Linked DNA regions of Rattus norvegicus. The protein of the gene in region 2 purifies or fractionates together with the protein of the main gene of each other region. This does not show direct contact. Links are inferred from orthologs where the notes say so. Each region holds a gene or a part of one and is shown on either strand. Other genes may lie near its edges. The genes, in order: Sod1 and Hexb.

Region 1 (11,175 bases), on a different chromosome or scaffold from region 2:
TAAGGTACTCAGTTTCATTAACTGAGGCTGTAAAAGTCGATTTAGCCACAACCGCCAGAACCACTTGGTCTCATCTCCCAGTGCTATGTATTTCCTGAGTGCCAACCTTAAAAAAGCAGGTGGTACCAACTTCACTTGGCAGGTAGAGGAGGTATTAAACTTGGCTAGCTGAGGCTACCTATTTGCCTTTTATGAGTTTTATACAAGTTTACTAAAGGGCTTTATCTTAAATCATGGCTTCTAACTCTAATACGATTTTAAAATAAGGTTAGGTACTCTGAATCTTAAAGAGAGCTTTCAGTAATTTCTGATGATAACAAAGGGCAGAAAATTTTCTAAGATCAAATCCGGTTTGGGCTACCACACGTCATTTTGATGGTATCACATGAAACACTTTCAAAATTAAATACTATGAGAGCCTCATTGAGTCTGTTGTTGATGCTCAGTGTATAGAGCTTAGGTCTTTTTGGTATACATTAATAGGCTTGAAATAAGTCTCTATCTCTCGAGGCTCTAAATAAGTCTCAGTCTCTCTCACACACACACACACACACACACACACACACACACACACACACACACACACACACACACACAGACACACACAGAGAGAGAGAGAGGCTTGAATGAGAATTTCAGCTTAACACCAGTGAGGTCTGGCACAGAAACAACAGATTTTAGTTCAATGAGTTGTACACATTCAGGAAGTTCTACACATCCTCCAAACATCGTCAGTCACCTCTCACTGCAAGTCCTTAGAGCAAGTCAAAGGAGTCACACAGTTAACAACTGTTAAGATTACAGTTTAATGGTTTGGTTTTTTTCTACAGTTTAGCAGGACAGCAGATGAGTCTGAGACTCAGACCACATAGGGAATGTTTATTGGGCAATCCCAATCACACCACAAGCCAAGCGGCTTCCAGCATTTCCAGTCTTTGTACTTTCTTCATTTCCACCTTTGCCCAAGTCATCTTGTTTCTCGTGGACCTTTGAAAAGAATTAAGAACATTTAGGTTTCGGTGATCAAGTAATTAGCACTTCTTCCCAGCAATACTTCAAAGGACCATGTATATTAGAAAATGTTCAAATCTATTAGTAAATCAATAAGCTAATTTTTATGCTATCAGCTAAAAGCAGACTACTAAGTGTTTCCTTGCTCGTGGCTATTTCTAGATGAATACTAAGGACCCAAATAACTACCAGGCACATGCTGATCTTAGCCCTCACCCTCACCCCACTGTACAGTAGTCATTCTTACAAATTTCTCTATCAAAATCTCTTGGTGAGTGAACTATAGGCCTACACATAAGAGGCAATTCTAAATATCTTTACTTAGCAACAAGATTTTAAATTTTATTTTTAGAACATTTATGAATGATTGTTCTGCTTCACCAATAGGGCTGAAGAAAATTCTAAGGATAAAGGGTCAACTGAAAGGAAGTGCCTACTGAAAAGTTAGCTGCCCGAAGTGGGCAAGAGCTTTTACTACTTGGTGTTCTGCATGAACCAGATTCATCTCCCGAGGGTAACTTGGGAAGACGGCTCCCATATGGTAACCAAGCGATAACCTGCAGACTTGAATACTGACATCCATCGCAGATTTTAAGCTCAACGAAATGATTAACTGTAAGGGGGCAATCATGGCAAGAAAATCCAGCTGTTTTAAACTAAAGACTATTGTATCCTCAACTCAGATCCAGTCTGATCAAATGTAACCAGCTTTCTACCGCACTTCAGCAGAACAGCGTTCTTAACTGACCTAGGCAAATTAATTCTTTACTATTACATCCAATAAAATAATATTTTTTCCTATTCTGAACTCTTACCAATTTATGTGATCTTTTAGGAACTAGTTTAACCACCACCACGAAGTCATGGAAAGGTACATAACTATGTTAGAAGAAATCCTACATCTACTACTATATGGAAACTTACCACCATAGTACGGCCAATGATGGAATGCTCTCCTGAGAGTGAGATCACACGATCTTCAATGGACACATTGGCCACACCGTCCTTTCCAGCAGCCACATTGCCCAGGTCTCCAACATGCCTAACATTAAAACAGCACCAGGTGGATAAGCAATGATATCTATTTCACATCAATAGAGTTCAATAGCTAAATTCACATCGAAGTCAAATGCTATGAGTGGATTAAAGAGTGCACATACACTATCAAATATGATGGCTTTTCCAGACAAAGGTCTGGAAACACAAATTTCAAAACAGGTAGCCAGGATACCTTGACACATAGCTCTTCCAGTTTAAAGGAGAGAGCCACAGTCTAGGACTTTCGAAAAGGATGTCAGCTCCTGATTAGCAAAGGTTTGCTCCCAGGCCTCCATTCCAAAAGCAAGCTAGCCCCTCTTTAAATGTAGGACTTTCCTAAGGTTTCACATACAAACGGAATCTCAACTAGTTTTTATTATCTGCATTAGTATATTATACAATGATTTACTTTGCTAGTGACTGATAGTACTGTTATCCATGATATTTTCTGTATTGGTTCCTTTTGGCACTTGTATTAGTTCATCTTCAATAAATGCTACAAAACTAAATCACTTAAGAGTCCACATTTGTCAGCTCCTTCACCCAATATAAACTATTCCAGTACTTGGGGATGTGGGAGTTGGGTGAATGGAAACATACAAAAGAAAAGGCAGTGAGACCACTCAGTTCTGTCTTCAGGTGTTTTCCACAGACCCCTCTCCACCACCATGCATAGAGAGAATGCTGCTCACCTCTCTTCATCCGCTGGACCGCCATGTTTCTTAGAGTGAGGATTAAAATGAGGTCCTGCAGTGGTACAGCCTATTTACCAGAAACCAGCAGTCAGATTATGAAGTAAACCTCTGTATGCAATGACATCGGAATTCTTACAACTTCCAACACAGCAAACATGGAGCTGGTATGTGCTGGAGTGATACAAACAGGAAGCAGCACCCTGGTACAAATAGCTGGACTATATGGCCTTGCATTTTCAAGCTACCCGCTTTTTCACTAGACTGTCATGTTTGTTTGTTTTGAGATTTGAGACAGGGTCTCACTACCACAGCCCATGATATCTGCAGTTAATGACCCTCCTACCTTAGCCTTCCAAGTGCCAGGAGCATGGTAGTGTCACAGCATGTCTAGCTCTGGTTCCTTCCTCTACTGGAACAGAAGCGACCTTTAGTGGCACTTCTAAAGTTAAAGTCCCACATTTAAAGATCTTTGCTTTTAAGATCATGATAAAAACACTTATCTTTCAAGACCTTACACCACCAAACAGCTCAGCCATCTGGCTTTTACTTGGGGCAGACAGATTTTTAGATTATCCCCACGTGTCAAGGCTGCTGTGCTTCTCAACTCCAGGTGTAAACAGCATTAGAGGTGTACATGTGGGCTAAGGGACATCATTCACAAGGGACATCTCAACAGCAACAACAACTCAGGAAATAGGACTTACATAGTTTACAATTTCTACCCAGACCAAGAAATAGGTACAGGGCAGGATTCTGGAAGGAACTTAACAAACCAAAGCTACCAGGCCAGAGGCAAAGCAACTTGATTGAACTTTAGTAATTATCCGAATGGGTCAAACACAAACATAAGTAACTGTAGGCCAAATTACTGTACATTGCACACAGGTTGATGGCCTTTAACCCTGCACATCTAAGACTAAATGGTTTAAGCTCCAGCACAGATTCCAGGCTAGCATGCACTATGTGGGGAGGGGAAAGCAGGGGAGAAGAGGGAAAGGAAGAAAAGGCTCTAGCAACATGAATGAGGCTCTTAAAAGATTATAAACAAACACAGATCATTACTCCAATATGGTAAAAGTTCACTAAATGCAATGTAAGCCACTATATTTTCTGACTTGATTCCAATCCCAAATATAAAAAATTTTACTCTAAGCATTTATATTGAATCTTCAGTTTTTGTCACTTCTGTCCCACTATGCCTCTCGTGCATAGCTGTCCTTAGACACTGTGCCTAAAGCACCCACCCTCAACCCCCAGCTCCAAACACCTCAAAGGATTATCCAAAATAAGGAAGGTGCGTATTTGTTTCTGTATATTAAAGTCAAGCTATAATAATCACATTTAAGAAAATTTACCCTCACCTTCCCACTTAAGGAGTCAAGAAATACTCGATACTAACTAAAATACTTTTGTGGCTATTTTCCGAGGTTGACCTAAGTGGTTATTTTAACTTAATCTAAAAGAAAAAGAAAAAAATTGATGGTTTTAAATGGTTAGTAATTGGTCCTGACTCAGTCCCATTCATCTCACTAGTCAGCCAGGTAGAGATAGATTAAGACTTACCTTGTGTATTGTCCCCATATTGATGGACATGGAACCCATGCTCGCCTTCAGTTAATCCTGTAATCTGTCCTGACACCACAACTGGTTCACCGCTTGCCTTTATTTAAAAAAATACAAAAATTAAGACATCAAGTTTGTGTTAATACTTCTGAATCACAGTAAAAGGCACAAGTCAAAAAACAAAACAAAATCAAACCTATGTCCAAATCCAAGTAGACCCATTTCCTCCAGGGTGACTCTAGAGCTGCTTAGCTCTAGGCCTCTCCCTCCCTACCCATCTTCCCTAACACTTGTTTCCAGATGCACGTGTGCAGACACCTGGACTCAACAGCACTTGAAAAGCACCCAGAGGAACAAAAGGGGGCAGCTCAATGTCAGAACTAGGGAATGGATGGCTACTGCACTGTGTCAGGCTTGATTCTTTCAGAACATTGGCTGCCCAGAAACCTCTACTCCACATTCAGTGATGTTTATCAGTTCCCATAATTTTATCCAGTAGCCAGAAAATAATTGTGTCCTACTGCCTGTGGGGATCCATTTGGGTCTAACCAGAGCTACTTTTTAAAAAAGTCTCATTAGGCATCCAAATCTAGAGAATTTGCTACTTAACAAAAAAGAAAAGAACATCCAAAATTCAAATTTAGTATTACTTCAGAAATTGTAGCAACAGGGAGAAAAGGCAAGACGCAACCAACTGCAACAAACAAGGACACTCATACCGGACCTTTCTACTTTAACTCTCCAACGTTTTCAACAAAATAAGGGACTAGGAACTTTGAGTAGAAAAAAACTGATTTTGAAAAGTTGGCAACAGTTTAAATCAAACAGTTTTGATAGTCAAGTTGTTACAGCTGCCAACCTGGAATGCTTAACTATCGTTTGATCGGGTACAAAGGGCAGCGTCACCAAAGAATGCTGCAAGCTGCTCTGGGAAGGTGGACACTGGGGTAGACCTAGCTAGTCTTCAGCTTTCTCAGGGTGGGGGAAAAGCCCTGTCTCACAGTGAATTATGTGGGAAGAAGAGAAAGACAAAAACAAAAAATTTACACAGGAAAACAACAAAATACATTTAAATGCCAAGAAACTGAGACTAGTTATGAAAAACTCTAAATTCCCGTTATCAGTTCTCCTCATAAAGGAAACACTTGGATTCACTATGGTGTCGGTCTCCTCACATTTATGTAAACCACTTTAGAGAGTACATAACGCTCATTTATCAAATATTTCTCTCGGGATTAAAAGGAGTACAATGTTAACCCCCTAAGGCTCTGAACACGCTCTTAACCACACAAATATCTTCCTTGTGACGCATGTGTTTTTGCAGAACTGCAGTAGTTTCGAAAATATTTCTGTATACTTTTCAAATTGTGCTCAGAGACTCGCTGTCGTAGACAACAACCAGAGTCAGGTCTCTTTCTTGGAGCTCTTGGTGGCAAAACAACTGCCCAAGGCCATCTCTTTTCTTTCCCCCTTGCGGCACGACCCTGACCTAATATAGCCAGGGCTTGGCTTTAAAATGCCACAAATGCGTTCTGCTTGCTGCGTTAGTCCGGTTTGGCACCACCAGGTTCAAATATTCTTACAACAAATGCAGCCGGTGGCCACAAGGGTCTGAGCCCCTGTGGGACAGGGACACCGGAAAAGCAGCAGCCCCAGAGGGATAGCGGATGCCAAGCCCGCTCTCTCGGGCCGGCCCGGCCACTCGGGGGCGCGAAGAGGGACCCGCCCGGAAGGCCCCGCGGCGCCCCGGCCTCCCTCTCCCGCGCCCGGCCCCTGCCTCAAGGCCGCGGTGACTCAGCATTTAACGGGCTCAGGCCGCGGCGGGGGCGTGGCGTGCTCCCGCACAGGTGCCCCGCGTCACCGCGGCCTGCGCCCAGCGCCCCGGGCCTTGCCTTCTGCTCGAAGTGAATGACGCCCTGCACCGGACCGTCGCCCTTCAGCACGCACACGGCCTTCATCGCCATGCTTCCCCGGGAGACGCGCGGCGGCCTCGGAACCTGGGAGAGCAAAAAGCAAGGAGACGACAGAAGCCGCCGCAGGAAACGAAGGTGCAAAACGAGGGCCCAGCGCCGCGGAGCTTTTATATGCCTGCGCCTGGCCACTCCCACCTTGGCAGGGAACCAATCGCTAGCCGCGGTCTCTGCCTACCCTTCCTGAAGTTCCCTGGCCGCGGGGCACGTTGGGGGCGGGGCTGAGGGGAGCGCCAGCTTCAGGAGCTTGCGGACTGAGAAAGTTCCAGAATCGAGACAGAGCTGGGAAAGTCGCTATTGTCTTCTAACTGTGACGTCGGCCGAGTCGCGGCGGAAACCGAGAACCTCGGCGAGGCCTGCGTGCGCGCCTGGAAGGTCTGAAGCCGCTCTGTCTAGAAATGCGGATTGCGACTGACTTTGCAGCGCGCCGCAGTTGCTGTGTGAAAGTTGGGGTGAGCCAAGATGGATGCTCGGTGTAATATGTGTAAGGCCCATGTTCTATCTCCAGACACACCTCTGTGTCTCTGCAGGTTTTTTTTTTTTCTCTGCAGGTTTCTTTTTTTTTGGGGGGGGGTTCTTTTTTTCGGAGCTGGGGAATCGAACCCAGGGCCTTGCGCTTCCTAGGCAAGCGCTCTACCACTGAGCTAAATCCCCAACCCCTCTCTGCAGGTTTCTAATTCCTGGGCACATACCACGTTACTTATTCTTCACTAATGTTTTTGTTACTGGTACTGGGGATTTGACATACACACACCCCTCGTGACAGACATGTGCTCTGCCAGTTAGACACACCTCCTTTTAAAAATATCACACCGTGTATACCTTTGGCTATCACAGAACTCATTATGCAGACCAGGCTGACCTCAAACTCACAGGGCTCTCCCTGCCTCTGCCTCTGCCTCCCAGTTGCTGGGGTTAGAGGCGTGTACCTGGCTTTCTTTTAACTTTAGAGATAGGGACTAAACTTCCATTTGAGATCCTCCTGTCTCAGCATCCCCAATAACTAGAATTGCTCGTCTGCCCCACCATCCCCAGCTGGTGTTACTTGCATAGTAACATTCTGTATCCTCTTGCCTGTTTGAAGTGGTTCTCAGACAGCCATGCGCTGGAGAACAAGATGCCTGATGAAGTCATTTGTGAAACCTCCATGCACTGGGTGAGACATAGTGCTTCAAGGAAGATATTTTCTAAGACGGTATGGAATGAGCAAAAGGTACAAACTACAAAAAAAGGTGGGGAGACATCACCATATATTTACTTGAGTTCTCAGAAATGTCTAGAAAGATATATGGGGAGTCCCTGGAGCCAAGAAAGGGTATCAGTAAGAGAGAGAATTCTTAACTAAAAACAGAATTGTCTCTTTTTAAAGTTGTTTCTTTCTTTTTTTTTTTTTTTCCGGAGCTGGGGACCGTTAAAGTTGTTTCTCAACTAAAAAAGAAAACTGTCTCTTTTTAAAATTGAAATCTCTGTGGTCTCCCAAGAGCTCATGCATAAAACTGCATGTTCTGCTACACTCAGGAGGCAGGATTTAATTCTGAGGATGGCAAAATACCGAAACCTAACTCTAGGCCAGAGAAACAGGAGGAACTGATTGGCTACACTGGGATACAGTTACTTATGTAGACCCCTGGGCTCTGCTCTATGACTATCCTGGAGAGTCTTATTTCTTTCTTTTCTTTTAAATATGTCTTCAGACACACCAGAAGAGGGCATCGGATCCCATCACAGATGATTGTGAGCCACCATGTGGTTGCTGGGAATTGAACTCCAGGACCTCTGGAAGACCAGTCAGTGTTCTTAACCGCTGAGCCATCTCTCCAGCCCTGGGAGTCTTACTTCTATTTACCACAGACAGAAAAGGTACTGAACAAACTGAAGAAATGACAATTCTGCCCAAATTCAGTATGGCAGATAAACAAGTTTATTTGGGTTACTTAGGGGAGCATAGGTGGACACAGACACTACACCACAGAAGAGCCTCATCTCTCAGCAATTGCTAACCACTTGCATGCCTTCAGAGAGGGTAGGGCCTCCTGGGTAAATGTTAGTTGGTCGGATATTGTGAGGGCCTGGGAGTAGAAGTCACTCTTACAACTCGCTAGGCAGTGATGGTCACATATCCAACTGAAGGAAACAGGCACATAGCCGGCCCAGGTGTGTCTTCTGTGAGAGATACACAGTTCACATTTTTTCTTGAGGCACTCCAGTCACGTTTTGTCATCTTTCAGATACGTACCCTGCCGCTTCCTTACTGATCACACTTAAGGCCGTATTAGACCATTGTTAAATACGTCTATGTAAGGTAAAAGGCTTACATATCTGTGGTTGTCCTTATTCTCACTAGTATTCTCCAGATGACTTGCATGCATACGGAAGAATTACATAAGCACAAATCCCAGCCAAAGGGCCTTTGTCCAAAGCCAGACTTTCTTTGGGTTCCAGGAAGTTAGAGAGTTGGATTTCAGTCCATTGTAAACCTGCCGAGAAAGCAGGCCATGGGTACAAAGGGCCTCCCTCAGACAATGATTACTACTCTTGAAGCGCTCAAACTGAGCTGCAGTGGTATCTTGTTTGGAGGCTGGAAAGCCAAGCAAGGGCTTCCCATTCCACAGGAGTAGAGAGTTGGGCCGCCTTCCAGGACAATGGGGTCCCCAGCAGGGCTATAGAAGTCTTGTACCCTTCCTAGGGCAGCATCTGCCCCATGAAGCCCAAAAACGTACCTCCACCTAGGACCTCACCTGTCCTCCAAAAACAGGATTTGAGAATCTTAATGGTTGGATACTTAATGGTGTTTGTGTTCTACAACCTTGGTGCTGTTGACATCTTTGGCTAGACAATGTGGCAGTGGCCCCGTGCATCACAGGATGCTTGTAACATCACGCCTGCTTCTCACAACACACAGGAAGCATCCTTCCCTTTGCCCCCAAGCTCCAAGTTAAGTTGTCCCATTTTGTGACAACTGAAAATGTCTCCATACATTACCAAGTCGTCTTTATCAGAGCTGGGTGTCTAGGGGTTAGACCTGGGTCCTTGTACATAGTAACCATGGGTTCTACCACTGATCTGTAACCCTGGCCTGAGAACTTCTGTTTTAGAACACTAATGCCCAAATCATTGCCCTATATGGTTTCCAGGGCCTAAACAGACAAAAAGGAGAGTGTCACTAAAGATACACAGCTGGGCTGGCCATAGGCCTCTCAGTGTGATGAAGAACCAGGAGTAAGGAAAGAGAAAAGGCCAGAAGCAAGCAGCGAGCTCTACCCTGCTACATACACTCTGCTACCCAGAACTCAAAGTCCAAGAATTCCAAATTTGAACTTGCCTTTTGGTGACTTGCAAAAGTGTATTTGTTAAGGCAGGATGCTAGGATGTAATTGTGACATATGACATCGGTTTGGGGGAAGGCATATGTCATCTAAATGTTTAATGTATCAGACAATGTATCCCAACTTTGATATTCCAAAGTCCTATGGCTTCGAGCTATCCTGACTCTTAATCTAGTCAGTCCAGTTATTTTGATCTGGGATTAGGAAGGAGCATGGATAGCGTGAAATGTTTCCCCCTGTTCCAGACTGCTTCCACTGAGAGCCGTCATCTCCAGAAATCAAAGTCCTACAGCAGTGTAGTCTCCCACCCTGTTGGTTACACGCTGGATTGTGGCTTGAGTCTGATTGTCAGAGTAAGGGCAGTCCATCCAGAGACACTGGTTTCCTCAGGAATGGTGGTGAGATGTTTTTGTGGTACTGGGATTGCTCAGGGGGCCAGGCAGGTGCCATGCCATGAGCTCCACACTCTGCTCTGTTCTCACTTCTTACTGATTTGCCCAGACCAGCCTGGAACTGAGCTGTAGTCCAAGCAGCCCTTAGTCTGTGATGTTCCTCCTTTAGCCTGCAGAATGGCTAGATTACCGATCTATTCTGGCTTGACTTAGTAGGCTTCCGTGTGTCCTGAGAGTTGCATGGAGTTACTCTGTGGAGTAAGGGGTGGGTAGAGGCAGACCAGGAGCTCACGCTTACATTTCCAGTTTTCCTCCTCCTCCTGTGGAGACAGTTCTTCCCAGTCCCCTTTTGTTTCACCTTTCTCCTTCCCTAAAGAACTTGTCTCCTGTGACTCAAACCGTTTCTGTCTGGGCAACATTCTCAGTCATTTGTAGATTTTGTGTAAATCTGCAGATCACAAGCCTGTGACAGAGGGATTGTCACCAAGGCCTTTGTCCCAACACCCTTGGTAAGAACATTCTTTTTTTTTTTTTTTTTTTTTTTTTTTTTTTTTTCTGGAGCTGAGGACCTAACTGAGGACCTAGCAAGCGCTCTACCACTGAACTAAATCTCTAACCCCAGAACATTCTTTTATACGAACTGCAGGACAATATCAAAACTCCAAAGATGAAATGTACACGGAGATTGATATCTCCTGTTGTAAAGAGTTTTCTGTAAGCACAGGTTTTTCTTCCCGGCCCCAGGCTCTCAGAAATAATGACTCTGAAACTCAAATATATTTACAAACACCTAGGCCACATAGCTAGGCGTGTCCCCCAACTATCTCACAACTTAATAATCCTTTTTTTCTACATTCCCGTTATGTAGGTGTTTACCTGGTCCTTAGTTGCATGCACCCATCTTCCTCTGTGTCTGGGTTGAATCTCCCCGTGCTTGAATCTGCCCACCAGATGCCCCACCTTCTATTCTAACCCTTCCTATAGGGTTTAGTTTTTTGGTTTTTTGTTCTGTTTTGTTTTGTTTTGTTTTTTGACAGGTGATGTATCCATTCATACACAAGATATTCTCACTACACTCTTTTAAAGCTAAGGGACAAATACAGTCAGAACTAGAGTACAAATTAGTCAAAAGTGGCATTAGTCCTACCTGCATACATTTAAATGTAATTTTAAAAAACAA
Region 2 (10,768 bases):
CAGAACCAGATTGCTGTGAGAAGCTTTAAGAGTTTAATGCTAGGTACTCATGGATAGGCTCTTCTCTTGAAGAAGCTGAAGGAAGAAGAAGAGAGAGATGTATTCAACTTACTCCTCAAGGGCTAAGTGCTAGTGAAGTGCTAGACAAATGAATACTTTATAAAAAGAAATAAAGGTCCTAAGACTACAGGAACTAGCTTACCAGCTTGAAAAATATGCTCACTGTCAAATATGGAGTCATAAAAACCAGTAAATGCTCACTACCAAGTATGATATAAAATCATCATTCTTATATATAGTCTCATGTATTCATAAAGGACCATGGCTGGGATGGGAGCACAGCCTGCAGGGAAAGCAAATGGCAGAAGTAAGCAGATGTGCACAGGGCACACAGGGAGGACACTGAAGACAGATGTGCACAGGGCAGGTGTTAGTAACACGCACTGTAAGAATATAGACATAGTGGGAGTGCAAGGCCTCTGGGTTCAGTCCCCAGAACACCCCCCACCCAAAAACAACAACAAAACAAGAAAAGCTGTTTTTCTATATTTCAAGAAATACTTGGGCTAGAGAGATGGCTCAGTGGTTAAGAGCATGGGCTGTTCTTCCAAAGATCCTGAGTTCAGTTCCCAGCGACCACATGGTGTCTCACCACCATCTGTAATGGGGATCCGAAGCCCTCTTCTGGAGTGTCTGAAGACAGCAAGTGTACCCACATACATGAAATAAATAAATAAATCTTTAAAAAAAATACTTTACTAGGTTTTCAGGGAGGAGGGGAAGAAACATTAAATATTGCTAAAAGAATATAGGAAATTTAAGTTTGGAAATTAGCAGAGGAACAAGTGTTATAGTTTTTATTATCAGCTTTTCGTATTCTCTGGATGTTTTGCAATTTGAGTTATCTTTTTCTGAGTGGACTCAGATTCAGGCAGTCTTGGCAATGGCAACCCATATCCGGGGGGCAGCTTGTTCCTGGCATCTTTCTTTGGCTTTCTTCATTATTTTTGCCAAAAGTTGAACACTGTGTGCAGGCACCTCCTTATTTTTCATGCATTTCCATGTGTTTGTCCTCAGATACCCTTGATAGAGTGCTAGGAGACAAGCGGCATTTTGCGAGAGCAGAGCTGGAAGTCCGGCCAGCAGAAGAGCCGTGTGGTGTGGCCACGATTGAGTACGCTGACTCTGTGGGTGAAGACCTGCTGCAGGCCCCTCGGGAGGACATTGAAAATGCCGTCCATAGTGCATGCCTCCAAGGTGAGGGATCACGGCTGTGTCTCCCGTTGACTGTTTAATTCCTCCTTTTTCCCCTCATGCTGGTGTTTGAGCCAGGGATCTTGGGCATACCAGTGAGCACTCTGCCTTGACGCTACACTCCTAGCCTCCAAGTTAGTCCATGTGCTACAGCCTGTCAGTGTTCTCTGTGTTTGTACTGCAGTTGAATTCTTGTTGCATTACTCTGTTCTTGCACCGTATATATTGTTGTGCTTTATTTCCCCCAACTCAGGACCTTTACTTGGCTCCCCAATCCAGGATGTGGCAGTGACATTACACTCACTGATGATTCATCCTGGCACCTCCACAACTATGGTCACTGCCTGCATCTCACGGTGTGTGCAGAAGGTACGGAGTATTTTCCTCGTGCTTCTGTGCTAAGGAAGTGCACTGAGTCCAGCACCATACATTCCACAGACCTTATGTCGCCATCAGATGGCTCAGTGGGTAAAGGTACTTACCACCAAGCCTGATTCTGAGTTTAATCCTTAGGAACTGCAAAGTAGAGAGACCTGACTTCAGAAAGTTGTCCTCTGACCCCCACATATGCATTGTGTTCATGAGCGCACACCACACACATAAATGTATTTAAAAATTTTAAACTAGCTTTCGTATAGGAAATCTTTGATTTCTAAAACTAAATTTTCCTTTTCCTTTGAAAGATTTTAGAAATTACCGGTCAGACAGATTAAACAAAATATTCTGGTTTTAGCAAAAGATCTTTCCAAACATATAGCAATTAGCACAAGCTACAAATATATATGTGTGTGTGTGTGTGTGTGTGTGTGTGTGTGTGTGTGTGTGTATTTGATAGATAATTTATCTTATGTGTGTTGGTGTTTGCTTACATCTATATCTCTATGAGGGTGTCAGAAGCTCTAGAACTGGAGTTAACAGACATGTGTGAGCTATGTAGGTACTGGAAATTGAATTCCCAGGTCCTGTGGAAGAATACCCAATACTCTAACCACTAAGCCATCTTTCCAGCCTCCAAGCCTGGTGGATTTAAGTGGATAGATCTGACGACGTCAGCTTAACGTTGGGCTTTAATGTAAAAGACAATGGAAATCTAATATTAATTTCAATTTATTTTTAAAGGTTATTTTATATATGTGAGCACTCTATCTTTATGTACAGCTGCACTCCAGAAGAGGGCATCAGATCCCATTACAGATGGTTGTGAGCCACCATGTGGTGGCTGGGAGTTGAGCTCAATGCTCTTAACCCACTGAGCATCTCTCTAACCCTTAATTTCAAATTTTTGAGTTTGTTCAAATAATATTGCTTTCATTAAAAAACTAAATCCATCTTATTGAACAGCAGATTTAGGCTAAGCATCTTCCCTCTCAAAGTATTAGGCATTATCACCTGAGTTGTCCTTGAATCACGTGGCCTTCTGCTTCTTGCCTTAGTGACCTACCAGAGCTGATCAACCCGCATGCTGTTTCCCAGTGTGGGAGTACCCTAGTCTAGCACTGGAGAGTAAAGGGGGTGACCGTGAAACCCTCAAGCACCAACGAAGGCTTGACTGTGTTCTGGGAACAATGAAGACTAAGTGTTTTGAACAGTGAAGTGTAGTCAGAGCACAGAAGTGATTGGCATGGAAAGACAGGAACTAGACTATGTCTGAATTAGGATACCAGCAACAGGCATAGGAATACTGGTGTTTACTGGGAAAAGGAAATCAGAGAAGTATATATAAGCAAACTGAAAACTGCTAATGCCATCAGCAAATAAGAAAGGCCAGAGAAGTGCTTGGAAAAGAAAAGCTGAGCCATGTTTGGGGCACACTGGGGAACTGGAGTGTAAACAGGCTGCCCCACCACAGGCCAGTGAAGGGCAGGACCAGAGTCCCCAGAGAAGGTCTGGAACTGCTCTTGAAGCCACACTGAATCTGGTTTTGAAGCTCTGCAGTGAGGTACTGTTCAGAAAGAAGGATGGAGGGACAGTTCAGGGAGTCCAGTCTCTAATGGTAGCATTTTTTTCTCTTAGATTTACCTTTTCCCCACATGATTATTATATCTTGAAACATTCTCAGGTTCCTTATGTGGCGTATGAAGTCTAAGATTATAAACCGTAATACAAGAAAGGACTTGCTTGTAGACAGTCTTGACTACTGGCTTTGTTGCTGGCTTGTTAAAGTGTTCTCCTTTCCTGCTGTCTCCAGCATGCGGCCACCAGTGCAAGTACTGACTTCTTGGTTCCTTATGCGATGCTCTCTGGGGGACGTTAAAGCCAGTGAGCTTCCCAGAGCCCTCTGCTCAGGAATACAGGAAGTAGTTCAAGGCTGTTTACATCTTCCTTGAACTGGAATAGAAATTTGTTCATCTTATGAAATCTCTTTAGGCCCTGAAGAAAGCTGACAAGCAGGTGCTGGAACCTCTGATGAGTCTTGAGGTCACAGTGAGTAGAGAGTACCTCAGCCCTGTCCTGGCCGATTTGGCACAAAGAAGAGGGAACATTCAGGAAATTCAGACTCGCCAAGACAACAAAGTTGTTCTAGGATTTGTTCCTTTAGCAGAAATTATGGTGAGTTATTTGCGTTTGAAATGTACACATTGTTTACTACAGGAGACGTAGTGTGAGTGAAGCTAGAATCACTGACACTGTGGGCATCACACTTGGGTGTAGAGAATGCACACCAAGTTCTCAACCACCATGGATGAGAAACCTTGGCCTTGAGTGGTGGCTGAGAACTCGGGAACACTGCATTGCAGGCAGGTTACTTCCAACCACAGGACCACATAGACTAAGGTACAGTGTGCCAAAATGTGTCAGTCTGTTAACTGTCTTACCCTGCTTCCATGCATCTTTCCTTTTCTGCTAGGTTTTGGGGCCAGCATCATTCTCTTCCCCAACCGGGCACTTCTGCCCCTAGGAAAGGCATGAGGGATACTGACAGGCAAGGAGGAAGGACAGAGTTAATCACCAGGGGCCTCAGAACACGTACACAGCTGGCCTTCCCCATGCTAAGGTTTTGCCATAGTATTTCCCTTTTCCTTCATTTTGAAAACCTCTCTGGAGGTGGTGGTACTTACCACCTCCTTCTCTTCTATGGGCTAAAAGATAATCCACAAGATGTAAGAAATGGAAGGCTTAAATTAAGTACAGTAACAAACTGAATTTTTTTCATTAGGGATATTCAACTGTGCTTCGAACCCTGACATCAGGCTCAGCTACTTTTGCCTTGGAGCTGTCTACTTATCAAGCCATGAGTCCACAAGACCAAAGGACTCTGCTCAGCCAGAGAAGTGGTTTGGCCCGTATGCTGTAGGCCCTTGGAAACGGGGAAAGCTGGGCACTTGCCAGCTTCATTCTCAGTGAGAATGCTGTTCTATTAACTGGCTGGTAAACTGCTGCTTCGCCCTGTGGAAAGAACTTGAACAAGACATGGAAGAATGGCATTGGAGCTGCCATCCTAAGACTGTTGAACCTGCTCTGCTGTAACGCACCACGGCTGGGCCCTGGTTGTCTCTCACCTCTCTGGTGCGGTGATAAAATAACCCAGTCAGGGCAGCTTATAAAAGGGTTTCTTTTCTCAACAGGAAGCTGAGATAGTCCTTCTTTAACCTCAAGCACAGAGTAGAGTGTAGACTAGATGTAGGGCCAGGCAGTGAATTCTCCAAGTTCACCTAGTGATGAACTTCCTCAGGCTACGCCACCTAAACTCCCCAAACAGCACGCTCCCTGGGAACCAAGAGTCTTTTGCCTACATGGAGGCCTGGTGCCTGTGGAGGTCAGATGTAGATGTTATGCCTCTCCCCCACCAAACTGGAATTATGGTGTGGTTATGAAGAACTGAACTCTGGTCCTCTGCAGGAACAAGTGTTCTTAAATACTTGAGCCTTCTTTCTGGCCCACCATTTCTCATTTAACCATTGCAGTGATGAGAGTACCATGCAGTGCTGGAGTTCTGAGTAGTAGTGCAAAGCTTTTTCTTTTATTTTTTTTAAGCTGCTCACATAAAAGATGTCAGTATTCAGTGTTTGATTCAGATATAGAAAGATTCAATCAATAAAAAGATAGTTTATTTAAAAAATAGCCTAACAAATATTAATTTACATGATTTCAGAATCAACATGATTAGAGCTGTAGTGCTGTAGACTTCTGTCACTTTTCCATTTTATTCTCGTAGTTACAATATCCAGTAAAGAGAGGTTGTGCAGCTATTCCGCGGCTGTAGACAGATAGACAGAGATGTTTTAGATGGGTGGCACCTTAGCAAATCCCCCACCTTTCGCAGTGATTTAATATTCTTTTTTTTTTTTTCTTTTTTTTCGGAGCTGGGGACCGAACCCAGGGCCTTGCGCTCGCTAGGCAAGCGCTCTACCGCTGAGCTAAATCCCCAACCCTGTGATTTAATATTCTAATCCAAGCTACTAACTCCTTTAAGATGGCAGTTATTCTAAAATACATCTTACAGGGGTTATTCTCCTGCAACAATGAGTGCAGTTTCTACCAATTAAATCATTAGTTCCTGGGTAACATTTTTATTTATTGCAAAACAAAAAGCTGAAGAAACTAGTTAACACTGAATGCTGGACTTCAGTACGAGATCCTGGATCGGGAAGGAAGTGTCTCACCTGACCATTCTACAGCGGTGCACTGCCAGTCGTCTGTAGGCGTTTTCCAGGTTGGTGATAATTCTAGGGCTCCAGAGCCTCTCACCAACAGCGCTTGCCCGAGGCCTGAAATTTAAAATATGTGGCTCCCAAAGCAGTTTAGATTTCTTTTGTCACCTATATAAGGAGATTCTCAAGAGCTCTCCTGCATACATGTATAATAAAAGCCAAGGCAGCCTTCAGGCCACTCGGCGCCCCTTGAATGCCTTACCATAGTCTTGGAATAAGGTTAGTTGCATCCACATATTCTCCCCATAGGCAAGCCTCTCCACCAATAACAAGTTGTTTCTGCTTCTCCGAACCTGCGTTACAATGGTTAAGGGACAGAGGTTAAGCTGTACAACACTGGTTTCCTTCCTAGAGTCATCCTACCACACCGCTCCATACCCTCCTGTAGGCAGCAGAACCTTTATTCCCACCCTGGCTCAGTGCTATTCAACATAATGGAGGGTTGTGGTGGGCTTGTGGTAGAGATGCTTTCCTAGGTCCTACACAGACTCGTGTGGACACTGCGTTCAACCTTTCCCTGCATCTCCTGTTAGTGGTGTGCCAGAAATCATAAGATGGAATATTAGCTTCATTTTAAGACTTAGATTTAGGAGGAGAGAACGGGAGTTATGGAAGAAACCAGCAGCCATGATGTCTGCTTTGCTTACCTTCAAAGTTAAGGGGCTCCGCTTTATAGTAGTTTCTCCAGTCTTGCCCGTAGCTGATCAGGTCTAAGTACCAAGGAGCAGAAAGGATGGCAGGGAAGCCGGATGCTGTGACTTGTGCTAATTCATTTAAGTAATTTTCACTTTTCCACACTTCAACTACCGTGCCCGGCTGAAGCTATTAAAGGCATTAGGTCCAGTCAATACAGTCTCACAGGTTTATGGGATCATGATTGGTAAACATACATTTCTAAGATCTTAGAAAAATCCTACATCCTTTTTTTCTTTTTGCTAATGGTCAGTGACATGTGTTATTCAAATTAACCTTTAAAGCTGAATAATTAACTTCTGTCTATAGCTAATACCTCAGAGACGGGTAAGATTTGTACCTTAGACCTATTTCTACCACACTGATGTTGTACTTAACTTGGAACAATGAGATTGTCACCAGCCCCCTAGAAAGGTAATGCTGGGGTCTTGTGAGAGATAAGTCTATCAGAAAAAATATTCCGGGGTTGGGGATTTAGCTCAGTGGTAGAGCACTTGCCTAACAAGTGCAAGGCCCTGGGTTCGGTCCCCAGCTCTGAAAAAAAAAAAAAAGAAAAGAAAAAAAAAAAAAAAGAAAAAATATTCCTTAAAAGTGTATACTGATTTACCTATTTATTATGTATATAGCATTCTGCCTGTGTATATGCCTGCACATCAAAAGACAGCATCAGATCCCATTACAGATGGTTGTGAGCCACCATGTGGTTGCCGGGAATTGAGGACCTCTGGAAGAACAGACAGTGCTCTTAACCACTGAGCCATCTCTCCAGCCCTGATTTTACATATTTTAAAACTACTAACACTATTTTTTAAAAGCTCATTTGTTGTGTTTTGCTCTTAAAAGCAAAAAGGAAATTAATTCATATTACTTCAACTTGTAAGACAGCAGGGGTTGGGGATAGAAGGGAGAAGGAAACAGCAGCGTGTGTGTGCGTGTGCATGGGTAGGTTGGCCACCTGCTCTGAGCCCCTGATTCCCCTGAGGAAGGCTCTCACTGAACCTGGAGCTGTACTGGAGGCTAGCAAGTCCCGGCGCCTGGCAGTGTTCAGCTTACAGGCACACATGTCAGCAGGCTGATGGCTGATCAGTTTTGGTCCTGTCTGACCACTGCACTGCACTGTCTGTTGGAGACTGAGATAATGTTCATCTCCTTGAGTCTGTAGCAAACAGAGAACAATGAGCCCTTCAGCCCTCCTCTGTCCATCTGTCCTGACTGCTGATGGAACATTCAACTCTGAAAACAGGTGTCCCAGTCAGGTCCTCAGGCTGGGATGGCAAACAGCCCTACCACAGAGTGGTCACGGTTCTTACCTCCACTTGATCATCAAAAACGTCTTGCCAAACAATGGAGCTCTTCTTTAAGGATGTGATAATATCCAAAATCCTAACATTGAAGACGTGGACTGTTACTTGGATCACCAGGTTAGCTCTCCTAAACCCTGTGTGTTTTCTACCCAGAACATGCCATGTTCCCTTATACCTTATAGTACCTCTTTAAACAGTGTAGCAGAATTCTCATTAATGGTGCGCATAGCCACTAATGAGACACTCACTCTTCTCAGATGTAGCTGCACTTCTGATCAAGCTCAGACTGTCCCAGAATGACTTGTGAGACCCTGCCACACATGAATAGAGGTCCCTCAGGGAACGCCTCGGGCGAACAGCCTCAACACGGAACTTCCTTCCTATCCTCTTTATAGAACCGTGGTTCTCAACCTTCCTGATGCTGCAACCCTTTAGTATAGTTGCTCATGTTGTGGTGACCACACCATAAAACTATTATTGTTGTTACTTCATAACTAATTTTGCTACTGTTATTAGTCATAATGTAAGTAGCTGATATTTCCAATGGTCTTAAAGGGGTCACAACCAACAGGTTAAGAGCCACTGGTATAGAAGAACCAAGTAAAGCTGGGTAGCAATTCACATAGCAACTCTCATGCTTTGGGACCTAGTGTAGTAGGTACTGTCTCTGAAATAGGGAGGGGTCTCAAACTCATAAAACTGTCCCAACAGAACTCTAGTAATCTCTTGGGTTTCCAAAGATTTCTTGGAAGAAAGGAAACTGGTCAGTTGTTAGCTGGCACAGATTAGCATTTAGGCAGTAACAAACACTTGAATGTCACACAGAAGCTTAATAGGAACGGTGTCAACTCTGAGCATCCCAAATGGATGGAGCAGAGTAGAGCTGCGAAGCTTTCCCTTTTTCTTTTTAAAAGAGATTTGCAACTCCACATGGCCCATGATGCCTAAGGGTGGTCTGGTCCCTATGGGGAAAAATGTGCTGATTCCTAGAGAACAGACTGTCCACCAAACTTTTGGGAAGTGGTCTGTCTGTGTTTTCTAACAAGGCAGCCACCACTTCAGTACCAATTCCCTGGCTGTGGAATGTTGGAAATGTCACTGCACTGTGTAAGGAGCAGAGATGCCCCAGGTCACTCAGGACAAAGGGAGTGAGTTCCAGCCCCTGGATAGTGCAAAAGACAAAGGGCAGCCAGAGCTCCTAGCAGGCGCATGGCTTCTCCCTCTATTTCAGTAGTTACTGCAAAATGCTTACTGCCTCCTAGGTGTTCTTGGCTCCACTCTTGCAAGCAGTGGGGAAGATGAGAAGTAAAGCAGAGAGCTAAGTCGCAGCTTGGACTTGTATGAAAACAGTGGTGATTAGGCTTTCAGATGACTTACTTTTTGATATAAAAGGATTCTAGTCTTCTAAAATTGTTGCCAAAGCCCTTTTTCTTCATGAAATTTTGGATGTTTGGGTTTGATGCCCTTAAATAAAACAGTGGGATGTTATAAACATTTTGATGTGCCCAGCTGATTATTTGAAGCAGCATGCATCTCTAACAGCAGTCATACAAAATGTTAGGTATTCAAAGGGAGTCTGAATCTTTTAGTGCAAAGTATTTGTTCCAGAAATGATTTCCCATTAGAAAAAAACAAACCCCAAAGGCTTTCCTTCCATGTCCACCCTCCATCCCAGGCACTTTACAAAGCTGAGAACTCTTACTTGAAACTGTGTCCCTACTTATTGTTCCCTTTCCACCACCAAAACTCATCTCATCCTAGTTTTTCAGGTTTCTTGAGACAATCACACTATAGTCGGGGTTGACCTTGAACTCGAAACACTCCACATCCATCCTCCTGAGCAGAGGGATTAAATACGCACCACCAAGACTGGTTACAGATTCCTTCTTCTTTTTCCCTTGAGTCAGTGTCTTACTCTATAGCTCAGGCTTGCCTTTCACCTTGGTTATAGGCATGAGCCAACATGCCCAGCTCCTACTTGATTTTCTTCCCTAAGCCTTACCTTGTTATTCCTCTCCAATGCACATATTTTAGTAATTAAAGCCCTACAAGGATTTTTACCACAAATTACCCCCTTTTAATGTGGATCCTGTATATTGATACTTTCAGAACGAAAACTGAAAAAAAATAAAGGTTTAGGGTTACCATACCAACATTCAAATTCCACTTCATCTCCTCCCAAGTGGATAAACTGGTCTGGAAACACCCTGCTGATTTCTTTGAAGAATGTGTCAAAGAATACGTATGTTGTATTTAGACTTGGGTCTACAGGTCCAACCTTTTGAGTTCTAATTTTTTGAATGAAACATGGAGTTAGAAGGTTTTTCTGACCTAGAAGAAAACAATTTATTTTTATGAGAACATCAATCACGAAGACCTGAATTTGCACATCTTTATGCTATAGATGGTCCTCCCCTTACAATGGTGTTGAATCCCAATAAATCCCATAAGCGAGGTGAAAAAATAGTAAAACAATGCATTTGACAAACTAATCCAAGTGTAACTCAGCTGCACAGCGTACTGTGCCATCTGCGTGTGCGTCTGCTTCCTGGGGCTCCTCAATCATAATATTAACCTGGGAAAGATCAATATCAAAGCATAGTTTCTATTGAGTATGACCTACTCTGATTCCATTATAACAGGAAACACTGTAACCCTTGAGCATCTGGACATTATACTGTTGACACTATAGAAATTTTATAGAGAGAAGACAACCGCATTTGCCAGTATTCACTTAGTTTCTCCCCAGGAAGACAAGAGCTGCTTTCACAGGTCTCCTTTGCTGCTTTTAGCAGACTTTGAGGGCTTATCCTCTTCACAGACTACCAGCGACTCTCAAATTTTTTCTTGAACTCCAATGCATAG

Evidence for each region.
Region 1: the proteins of Hexb (region 2) and Sod1 purify together in Homo sapiens (affinity purification with mass spectrometry; 3 studies listed by BioGRID and IntAct, with this or other methods). This does not show direct contact. The link is inferred for Rattus norvegicus from reciprocal best matches to the Homo sapiens genes HEXB and SOD1.

Annotation. Positions count from the first base shown.
Region 1 is NC_086029.1:42,938,012-42,949,186, reverse strand, and holds Sod1 (superoxide dismutase [Cu-Zn]), read right to left. Parts: upstream 6,365-11,175; 5' UTR 6,272-6,364; coding exon 6,200-6,271; intron 4,405-6,199; coding exon 4,308-4,404; intron 2,812-4,307; coding exon 2,742-2,811; intron 2,054-2,741; coding exon 1,936-2,053; exon of another isoform or gene 1,934-1,935; intron 988-1,933; coding exon 880-987; 3' UTR 788-879; downstream 1-787. UniProt on the Homo sapiens protein: Destroys radicals which are normally produced within the cells and which are toxic to biological systems.
Region 2 is NC_086020.1:30,213,415-30,224,182, forward strand, and holds the end of Hexb (beta-hexosaminidase subunit beta precursor), read right to left. Parts: intron 10,235-10,768; coding exon 10,054-10,234; intron 9,398-10,053; exon of another isoform or gene 9,368-9,397; coding exon 9,281-9,367; exon of another isoform or gene 7,983-9,280; coding exon 7,910-7,982; exon of another isoform or gene 6,729-7,909; coding exon 6,554-6,728; exon of another isoform or gene 6,200-6,553; coding exon 6,109-6,199; exon of another isoform or gene 5,964-6,108; coding exon 5,859-5,963; exon of another isoform or gene 5,453-5,858; coding exon 5,386-5,452; 3' UTR 5,194-5,385; downstream 1-5,193. Other genes in the region: Gfm2 (ribosome-releasing factor 2, mitochondrial), read left to right, coding at 1,078-1,257, 1,508-1,623, 3,622-3,804, 4,412-4,549. UniProt on the Homo sapiens protein: Hydrolyzes the non-reducing end N-acetyl-D-hexosamine and/or sulfated N-acetyl-D-hexosamine of glycoconjugates, such as the oligosaccharide moieties from proteins and neutral glycolipids, or from certain mucopolysaccharides.